Linked DNA regions of Bombyx mori. The protein of the gene in region 1 binds, or shares a complex with, the protein of each later gene. Links are inferred from orthologs where the notes say so. Each region holds a gene or a part of one and is shown in the gene's direction. Other genes may lie near its edges.

Region 1 (3,500 bases):
TTCGCGCTGCAGTACCGCGTGGACGGGCCGCTGGGCACGCTGTTCCCGGCCACGTGCGCCGCGCGCTACCGGGCCCTGTTCACGCAGCTCTGGCGCGTCAAGCGCATCGAGTACAGTCTGCACGACGCCTGGCGCGAACACACCATACTGCACAAGCGACTCAAACACATGCCCGGTCAGTTTCACGTTCTGTGTATACAGCGAATGTACTCTTTTTTTTTTTCAGTTTGGCAATTAGCTTCTAGCGATGGCATTGTTGCCAGTGTCGATTTTATAAATAAAAAATATTTTTTCACCTACCATGACATGGGGTAAATTGGGATCCTGGGGTAAATTGGGACAAACCTGCGGAAGATTCTTAAAGTACTTGTAGCACGGAATCTACCTAATTTTCTTTAAGGTAATATTTATCAATGTATAGAAGAAAAACCAAGTTAACTATGGAAGTACTAAACATGAGTTAAGTTGGTCCCAAAAATTCGTCAAATTAAATTTAAAATAGTGGTTAAAAAGTGCGTTTTAAAACAGCTTAAAGAACTTTTAAAAAAAGTGATATTAACGTTGTTTTTTCAATAAGATCACAGTTTAGATAAGTTTTTAATACACCTGGAAATACCACAACAAACGGTAAGTTGCAATATTCTTATTTTAAATACAATATTTCGACAAAATAAAAAATGTATATTTTTTCCTTTCTTTTTGGGGAAAATTGGGACGTATGTAGGGTAATTTGGAACGAGACTGGAAAAATTAGGGACGAGAAAACACAAAATTGGAACGCCAAAAGACAAAATAGGGATGGCTTGTTAGGGTTGTCACTGATATCTTATAATAGATTTTTTAGCCTATACTATCCCTTAATTGCGTGATGTAAAGAAGGTTAATGTGTTTATCAGTTAGTTTATGTAAGTATTATAGGTAAAAGAAAAGTATATATATAATTACTTTTTTTTCGCGACATTTACCTTGTAATATCTGCCCGGTCGTATGTTCTTTATAGCAATAAAAAAAATTAAAAGTTAAAAGAACTCAAACGAATCAAAACTTTTGTTATTTTAGAATCTATTCACGCATCGAATCATGATTTTGTTAACATTCACAACGAACACACACAAATAAAAACAGGCCTCAGATTTTAAATGTAACATTAATTAAAAATCCGAGATATCCAATTATGAGTGAGTGAATTAATTGAGTTTAGTTATTTCGCTTAGAAAGAATTTCTTTTATTTTTGTTATTATGGGCAGTAATCAGATAAAGCTGTTTTTTTATCTTATTCACCTGATATCTTACTCTTGCTCAAAGATTATTTTGAAAATGTTGATTAAATAAAATTGTATTATTGCATTTCCAGTCCTTTTGTTTTCTATTTTTTATTCTATTTTATGATTTTGTTTCAGAGTTGTGATTTTTAAGGAAATTTAATAATAATTTTCTAAAATATAACATGCAAATACTTTTTTTGATCATTGTATTGTTGATTATCATTCACGTCACATCGCTTCGGAATAGAAACCAGCTTAATTTACACTATGTTGTGTATTGTGCTTAAATTATGGATTGTATTCATCATTTCGGTCCATATAAATAATTATATGGCACCTACCTATATATCGCAGTACTGCGAGTTGACAACCCTTACAAATATCCCAATTTAACCCTTAACCGTGTCAATTTACCCCGGACGCTGGGTAAATTGGGACGGCCATTATTTTACCGATTATTTCTTTAAAATGAATAATTAAAATAATGTAACGGTTTTTATCACCTAGGTACGTTCAAGACTCAACTTATTTCTTTGGTTGAGCAGTGACTATTTAATTGGAACTATTTTAAAATTCAATCTGAAGGTCGATTTTGTCCCTATTTACCCCATTGTACGGTACCTACGCCGAAAGTTCGGTTTTCCTCCCGCTGTACAGGGAAGAAAGTGTAACGTTTTCTCCCTGGGTACAAGTGCGCATGCGCGTTAGTGTCTACGTCTGCTCTCACGCACCTAAAATTCTCCGCCATTTTTGTGCTCGGGTAATTTGCAATATTGTGTTTAGTGTAAAAGTGAAATAAACAAGAGGCAATAAAATTTAATAGTGAAGTATTAAACAAAGATGAGTTCATCAGACAGTTCTTATTCAATTAGTAGTAGTTTATTTACAAATTAAAAAACAGTTAAATTGGTTTTTTTATGAGCGTGTTTGCCACACAACTTGTGCTTGCTTGCACAATGCTGTACTTGCACAATGTACTAATTACATAATATATAGGTACTTTAAATGAAAAATGGAACGGAATGAAATGAAAATTATTTATGAAATGGAATGAATCTAGATGAAAAGAAATAACGTCCCAGTAAAATGATGATAGTTTACTAAGACTTCGTTGAGATTTTTGAAGGTATCTAGATAGATCTAGATAGTCTAGATACTTTGTTTGATTTTCCGAAACTTATACATTTTCATAGATGCTAAAAGATTAGTAAGGCCATTATTACATGCTTAAACTCAAAAAAATTTAAATTAACAAAATAAGACTGTTTAGATAATTTCGCTCCTCGTGTTTTCACCAAAACGCCCAAATATATTCGTAGTTGTAGGTATTTTTATATATCAAAACCCATTGCGAATAACTTTTGTAATAAAGAATAAGTTTGTATAAGTATTTGTTTAACAAGTTGCAATAACATCAGACAGAAGAAACTTGACTATTGTTGGTATGAGCTCACTGATACCGCCGTTCTTTTTTTCCAAACAATAAGCAATGTTAGCGGTCACCGTCCTCAGCGAACCTGTCGCTTACGACGAAGGGCTCGGAGAGTAAATTAACTCATAGACACAGCCCACTAAGTTTTCGTCGGATCTTCTCAGTGGGTTGCGTTTCCGATCCCGCGGTAGATTCTGCAAAGCACTGTTCTTGCTAGGGCCAGTGTTAGCATTACTCCGGTTTGAGCCCCGTAAGCTCGTCACGACTTACACGTCAAGGAGAATCTGAAATAGCCTCTCGAGGCTAGATATATCGACGCTTGAAAGGCAAACGTGACTAAGCGACTATAACTGCTTTGTACATAAATGATTCGATGCGCAAAAAAAAATTTCTTTCTAGGTCTATTAAAATCATTTCAATCCTACAGCTAGATTCGTTAAAATATATTTATTTTTCAGGTATTTCAACTTTAAATTAGTCTACTGTAAAGCTCACGCATTTTCGCTTAGTCACGTTTGCCTTTCAAGCGTCGATATACATAGGCATAGGAAGGAAAAAAGTGATGTAATGTTGGTTTAATCGTGATTGTGACAGAGGTGTGGGCGGTGATGCGGCGCGTGTGCTGCGTGCGGGCGGAGGCGCTGCGGGTGTGCGGCGCGCTGCAGGAGGCGAGCTGCGCGGGCGCCGAGGACGACTGGGCCGAGCTGCTCGCCGCGGCCGCCTCGCGCACCGACCTCGACCGTCTGCTGCATCTGCACCTGCGCGCGCTCGACCAGCACTCCGTGCACGCCATGATACACCA
Region 2 (4,188 bases), on another chromosome or scaffold:
TGTTTTCAATGTTTATCAAAGAATACTTGATGAACAAGGTACAGAACAGAGACAATCATCGATATTGAGCCATGTGCAAGCGTTGACTGGTTAGTAGGAATGACACGTCTTGATACTTTGGTTTATTGCATTTTCGTGTGTATTATGTGTACTAAACTTTGGCTTATACCAGGTGTTTCTAATACTACCATAAGACGAATTGTTGCTGAAGGCAGATCTAACAGAGGCGTATTTAGTACGCCCGGTAAAAAAAGGAAAGGTGGCAAAAATACTGCGCCTTCCTCGTTTTCCTCTTCCGATGAAGAATTTTTATGGATGTGCAGTATTTGGAACCATTTTCAAATTCTAATAGCCTATAATTAATTAATAAATTCATGAACAGAGTAATTGGAGTTTTCATCTAAATTTCGAACCCCACATTCGACACAGTAAGATTTTCAAAAATAATCTTTGATCATTGCATAAATTTTTATATTTGCATGTATCACACAGAATCAGCCGCTATAAGAAAACCAAAGTATCAAAACGTTTTACTCCAATTTCCCCAATACTGCTAGCGTCAATTTCTTTTTTCCCTTTTTGCCATTAGATCCTGGTAGACCTATATATACTCGTAGACTTCGATGTTCACACATCGGTCACCGTTCTCGTCCAACCCATCGCTTGCGACGAAGGGCTCGACGAGTAAATTAACCCTCAGACACAGTCCACTGAGTTTCTCGCCGGATCTTCTCAGTGGGTCGCGTTTCCGATCCGGTGGTAGATTCTGCGAAGCACGGCTCTTGCTAGGGGTCGTGTTAGCAACGTCGTCAGGTTTGAGCCCCGTGAGCTCACCTACTAGTTAAGGTTCCGCTGAAATAGCCTCTCAAGGCTATCAGCTTAGGTAGGGAAAAAAAAATGTTCACACTGGTATTCTTGGAGTCCATAAATTTGAATGTCTACTGAGCTATAATAAATAAAATGTAGGTACTAGTAGCACTTGTGAGCAAAATTCTCTCAAGATGAGCCCCGAGGTTCCATCTAACTGTATTAAGCTGGCATAGACTTCAAGATCATTATAGGAAAAAAATGTACGGAATAGCTAATATTAATGTAAGAAAATATACGGATTAGGTAGGAAAAAAAAGTGACTCTTTTTACCACACAATAAACGACAATTACCATTCATGTAAACTTGGTAAAAAATTAAAGTGACAAAATTAAACGATTCAAACAAATTAACATCGATGCTCCCGCCACTTCTAATTTTACTTTACGTGTCAAACTACGTTTTTGTTGTCGTAGTAATATATTAGTGCCTAATCCATAGAAATAGATTAGATTAGACACTACGAAAAAAAGAGTTTGCTTAAAAGTCTCGTTACCAGGCCATACAATCTTTAAAAAAAAGTATCCAATTAATTTTGTTTACCTACCTACCGATAAAACCGTACTTTTAAAAACTTCACAAGTTTTGCTGGTCCTTATGCTATTTAATTTATTTTTTGGTAAACCATGATTCATGACGTACTATTAATTCTTTGGGATTCATCTGAAAATGCTATCGAAAAAAAAGAGGTATGTACAAGTAGATGCATATAATTTTTAGATTAAATTAAATTATAAAAATACATACTTTGGCCATTAAACTACTGTATTTGTAATTTAATAACAACTGTATACTGTTTCATAATATTGAAAGGTGGATTACGTTTATATTAGACATATACTAAGGTTGCAAAATAGTATTAAATCAAAGTGATAAAATAACAGTTGTTCATTGTAATCCTGTCTTTTTTATTTCTTGCAGAACCTTGCTTATGCGAATGAGGGTGATGTTGAAATCTATGGTAGATTAAGTGAGATAGCAAAGAGCCATCATAGAATCCAATCCTTTGTAGAAGAGACTGGATTCCAATCCCGAAAAGCTTTATCAGGTTTGAATAGTAACAGGTCTTTTCTGTAATAATTATTTACAGTTAATGAAATTCCATTAGAATCAAATAGCATTTTATAACAAATTTGTAAAATAAACTTCAATATTAATTGCAGCAACAACACACAGTCACAGATATGGACTCTATACCCAAGCACTAAGTGAAGGCATCACTGAAGTCCTACTATCATATAAGAAAACACTTGTAGAAGTTGAATCTCTAGTAATAGGGAATCACAACTACACTTTATCATATGTCTATAGTTACATTGAGAAATATCAAGGTCTGTTCAATACATTGAACAGAATTATAACAACTATTAAAGAAAGGAGATTAATGGGCTGTCAGATATTGAGTTTAATTCATCAATATATTTTAAGTGGCAACAAGTCGATTCATGATGCCGTTTTGAAGTAAGTTTTCAAGTATTGAGATATTTATAGTTATATAATTATATAGACTAAAGTATTTCAGTATTTACAGACTACTAAGTATTTTTAATGAAAAGCTCTAAATTTTGTTAATTTAATTTGTGGTCATATTAATTTTTAAATAATTGTAATCTTGTTAATCTTGCATTTATTGTTGTCTTATATTATTTTCATCTTTAAGCATGAAAACTGAAAATGATTTCAAATGCCTGAAACAAGATAATGATAATGATAAATGCATGTGTTTACTAAAAACAGTTTTAATTTAGGATATAACATACTAAAAGCAATGATAATACTAGAAATGCTTATTTGGTATTAGTTTATTTAGAAGATGTGTGTATGGTTAATTTATTCTTCATTATTTATACATTTAAAAAATTAGACACCAAAAAGGAACTCTGTTAGTTTATATTTAAAAGTAATTTTAAACATTACAGAATATTTACAAGTGTGAACAAAGTATTCATACATCAACTATGTACTTGGCTTCTTTATGGGGAATTAAAGGATGTGTATCAAGAGTTCTTCATATCAAAAAGAAAAGATGACTCGTCAGAAACTTTATTGTCAACACCATCTTCTTCTAATGTCTGTGACAAAACTCTTGTTTCTACAGTAAGTTTATTTTTTTTATTTAGTAAAGATATGAATAAAGATAATAATATATAAGATAATTATGTACGTAGGGTAATATTGTAAAGTAATTAAAGCGGCTTAAGATGACACAAAATGGTAGAGTAACAATTATTTGCATGATTATATTTTCATTTATGTCTTCAATATGTGAGCCCCATTTATAAATAAACATGTTATTTACATCATATTTATCTTAGGACCCCAATGTGTGACAGATCCTGATAATGGTAATTTTTAAGCAACTTCTTATTTTTTTATTCCAATAAGGGCCCTTTTGATATTAAGTAGTTACCCGAGCCCTTAGACATCATAATGTGAATGCTACAGCCACCTTTGAGACATGAAATCAGAAGTTTCAATTTTATTGTCTGCAGGACTGTTTCAAGATAAAAGGTATGATAGTACCTACCTGTATGAGTACAATATGCCGTACCATAAGTACACGGCGATCCCACTACTATGATATAATACCCGGAGAATGCTTCTACCCATTCAAAGTAACCTTTTACGACACTAACAGAAAGTGATAGGTAGAATGACCAGTCAGCTTCTTTTATTACAACAGGGACTTTCCTGTTACTAGTCATCAGGTGAGATAGGTGTATCCATACCTACCTTACTAAGTAATATAAAAATATTTTATTTCAGTTGCAGGAGACATTAGGTTGTGGTTACACACTCAATCCAACACTGATACCACATTTCATGCCATTGTCATTAGCACAAGAAATTTTGTTTATCGGAAAAACTGTAATACTTTTCGATTTAGATCCAAAAAAAGTAAAAAAACACAGTGGCTTCGCTTCAAGCAGACCGATGTTGCCTTTGAAAAAGTATGGAATTGAGTCTAGAAGGTAAAGAAATTACAATGTTATTATGAATATAGATGGTGACAGTGGGGGTGAGGTCACACTACATAATTAACAATTTCATGTACAAATACTTCATTATTTTTGGTTTTATTTGTGCATCTGAATTCTTAAGAAAATCAAGCACATATTTTATAATAAATTATGCAGGTTTACAATTTGGGAGGACAAAGAATCTGAATTTCATGAGAAACTACAAAAACTTAAAGATCCAGATAATTTTGAAGTTCATAATCTGAGAAGTGTTATAAGGGAGATTAAAGAATGTGTAACTAAGGTAACATTGTTTTTTTGTTAGTTGATGTTTAAATGAACTTTTATTAGTCTTTATAT

Evidence for each region.
Region 2: the proteins of gamma-tubulin complex component 3 homolog (region 1) and gamma-tubulin complex component 4 are in contact, whole or in part, in a cryo-EM structure (PDB 7QJ0), measured with the Homo sapiens proteins. The link is inferred for Bombyx mori from reciprocal best matches to the Homo sapiens genes TUBGCP3 and TUBGCP4. Residues at the interface, in NP_006313.1 of Homo sapiens: Arg252, Asp253, Tyr256, Gln259, Ile261, Asp262, Lys264, Arg305, Ser312, Leu313, Arg315, Leu319, Gln322, Ser323, Cys325, Ala326, His329, Arg333, Tyr336, Arg337, Ser340, His343, Ser344, His424, Pro425, Tyr593, His595; in NP_001273343.1 of Homo sapiens: His35, Pro36, Ser37, Glu38, Ser40, Val41, Arg44, His116, Leu117, Ser118, Ser120, His121, Tyr124, Phe125, Asp127, Gln128, Leu131, Pro134, Lys159, His160, Cys162, Gly163, Gly164, Leu165, Pro166, Arg169, Leu630, Ser631.

Annotation. Positions count from the first base shown.
Region 1 is NC_085121.1:10,746,061-10,749,560, reverse strand, and holds part of gamma-tubulin complex component 3 homolog, read left to right. Parts: coding exon 1-175; intron 176-3,292; coding exon 3,293-3,500. UniProt on the Homo sapiens protein: Component of the gamma-tubulin ring complex (gTuRC) which mediates microtubule nucleation.
Region 2 is NC_085125.1:5,625,242-5,629,429, forward strand, and holds the start of gamma-tubulin complex component 4, read left to right. Parts: upstream 1-1,388; 5' UTR 1,389-1,494; coding exon 1,495-1,557; intron 1,558-1,789; coding exon 1,790-1,916; intron 1,917-2,031; coding exon 2,032-2,329; intron 2,330-2,787; coding exon 2,788-2,965; intron 2,966-3,634; coding exon 3,635-3,840; intron 3,841-4,005; coding exon 4,006-4,132; intron 4,133-4,188. UniProt on the Homo sapiens protein: Component of the gamma-tubulin ring complex (gTuRC) which mediates microtubule nucleation.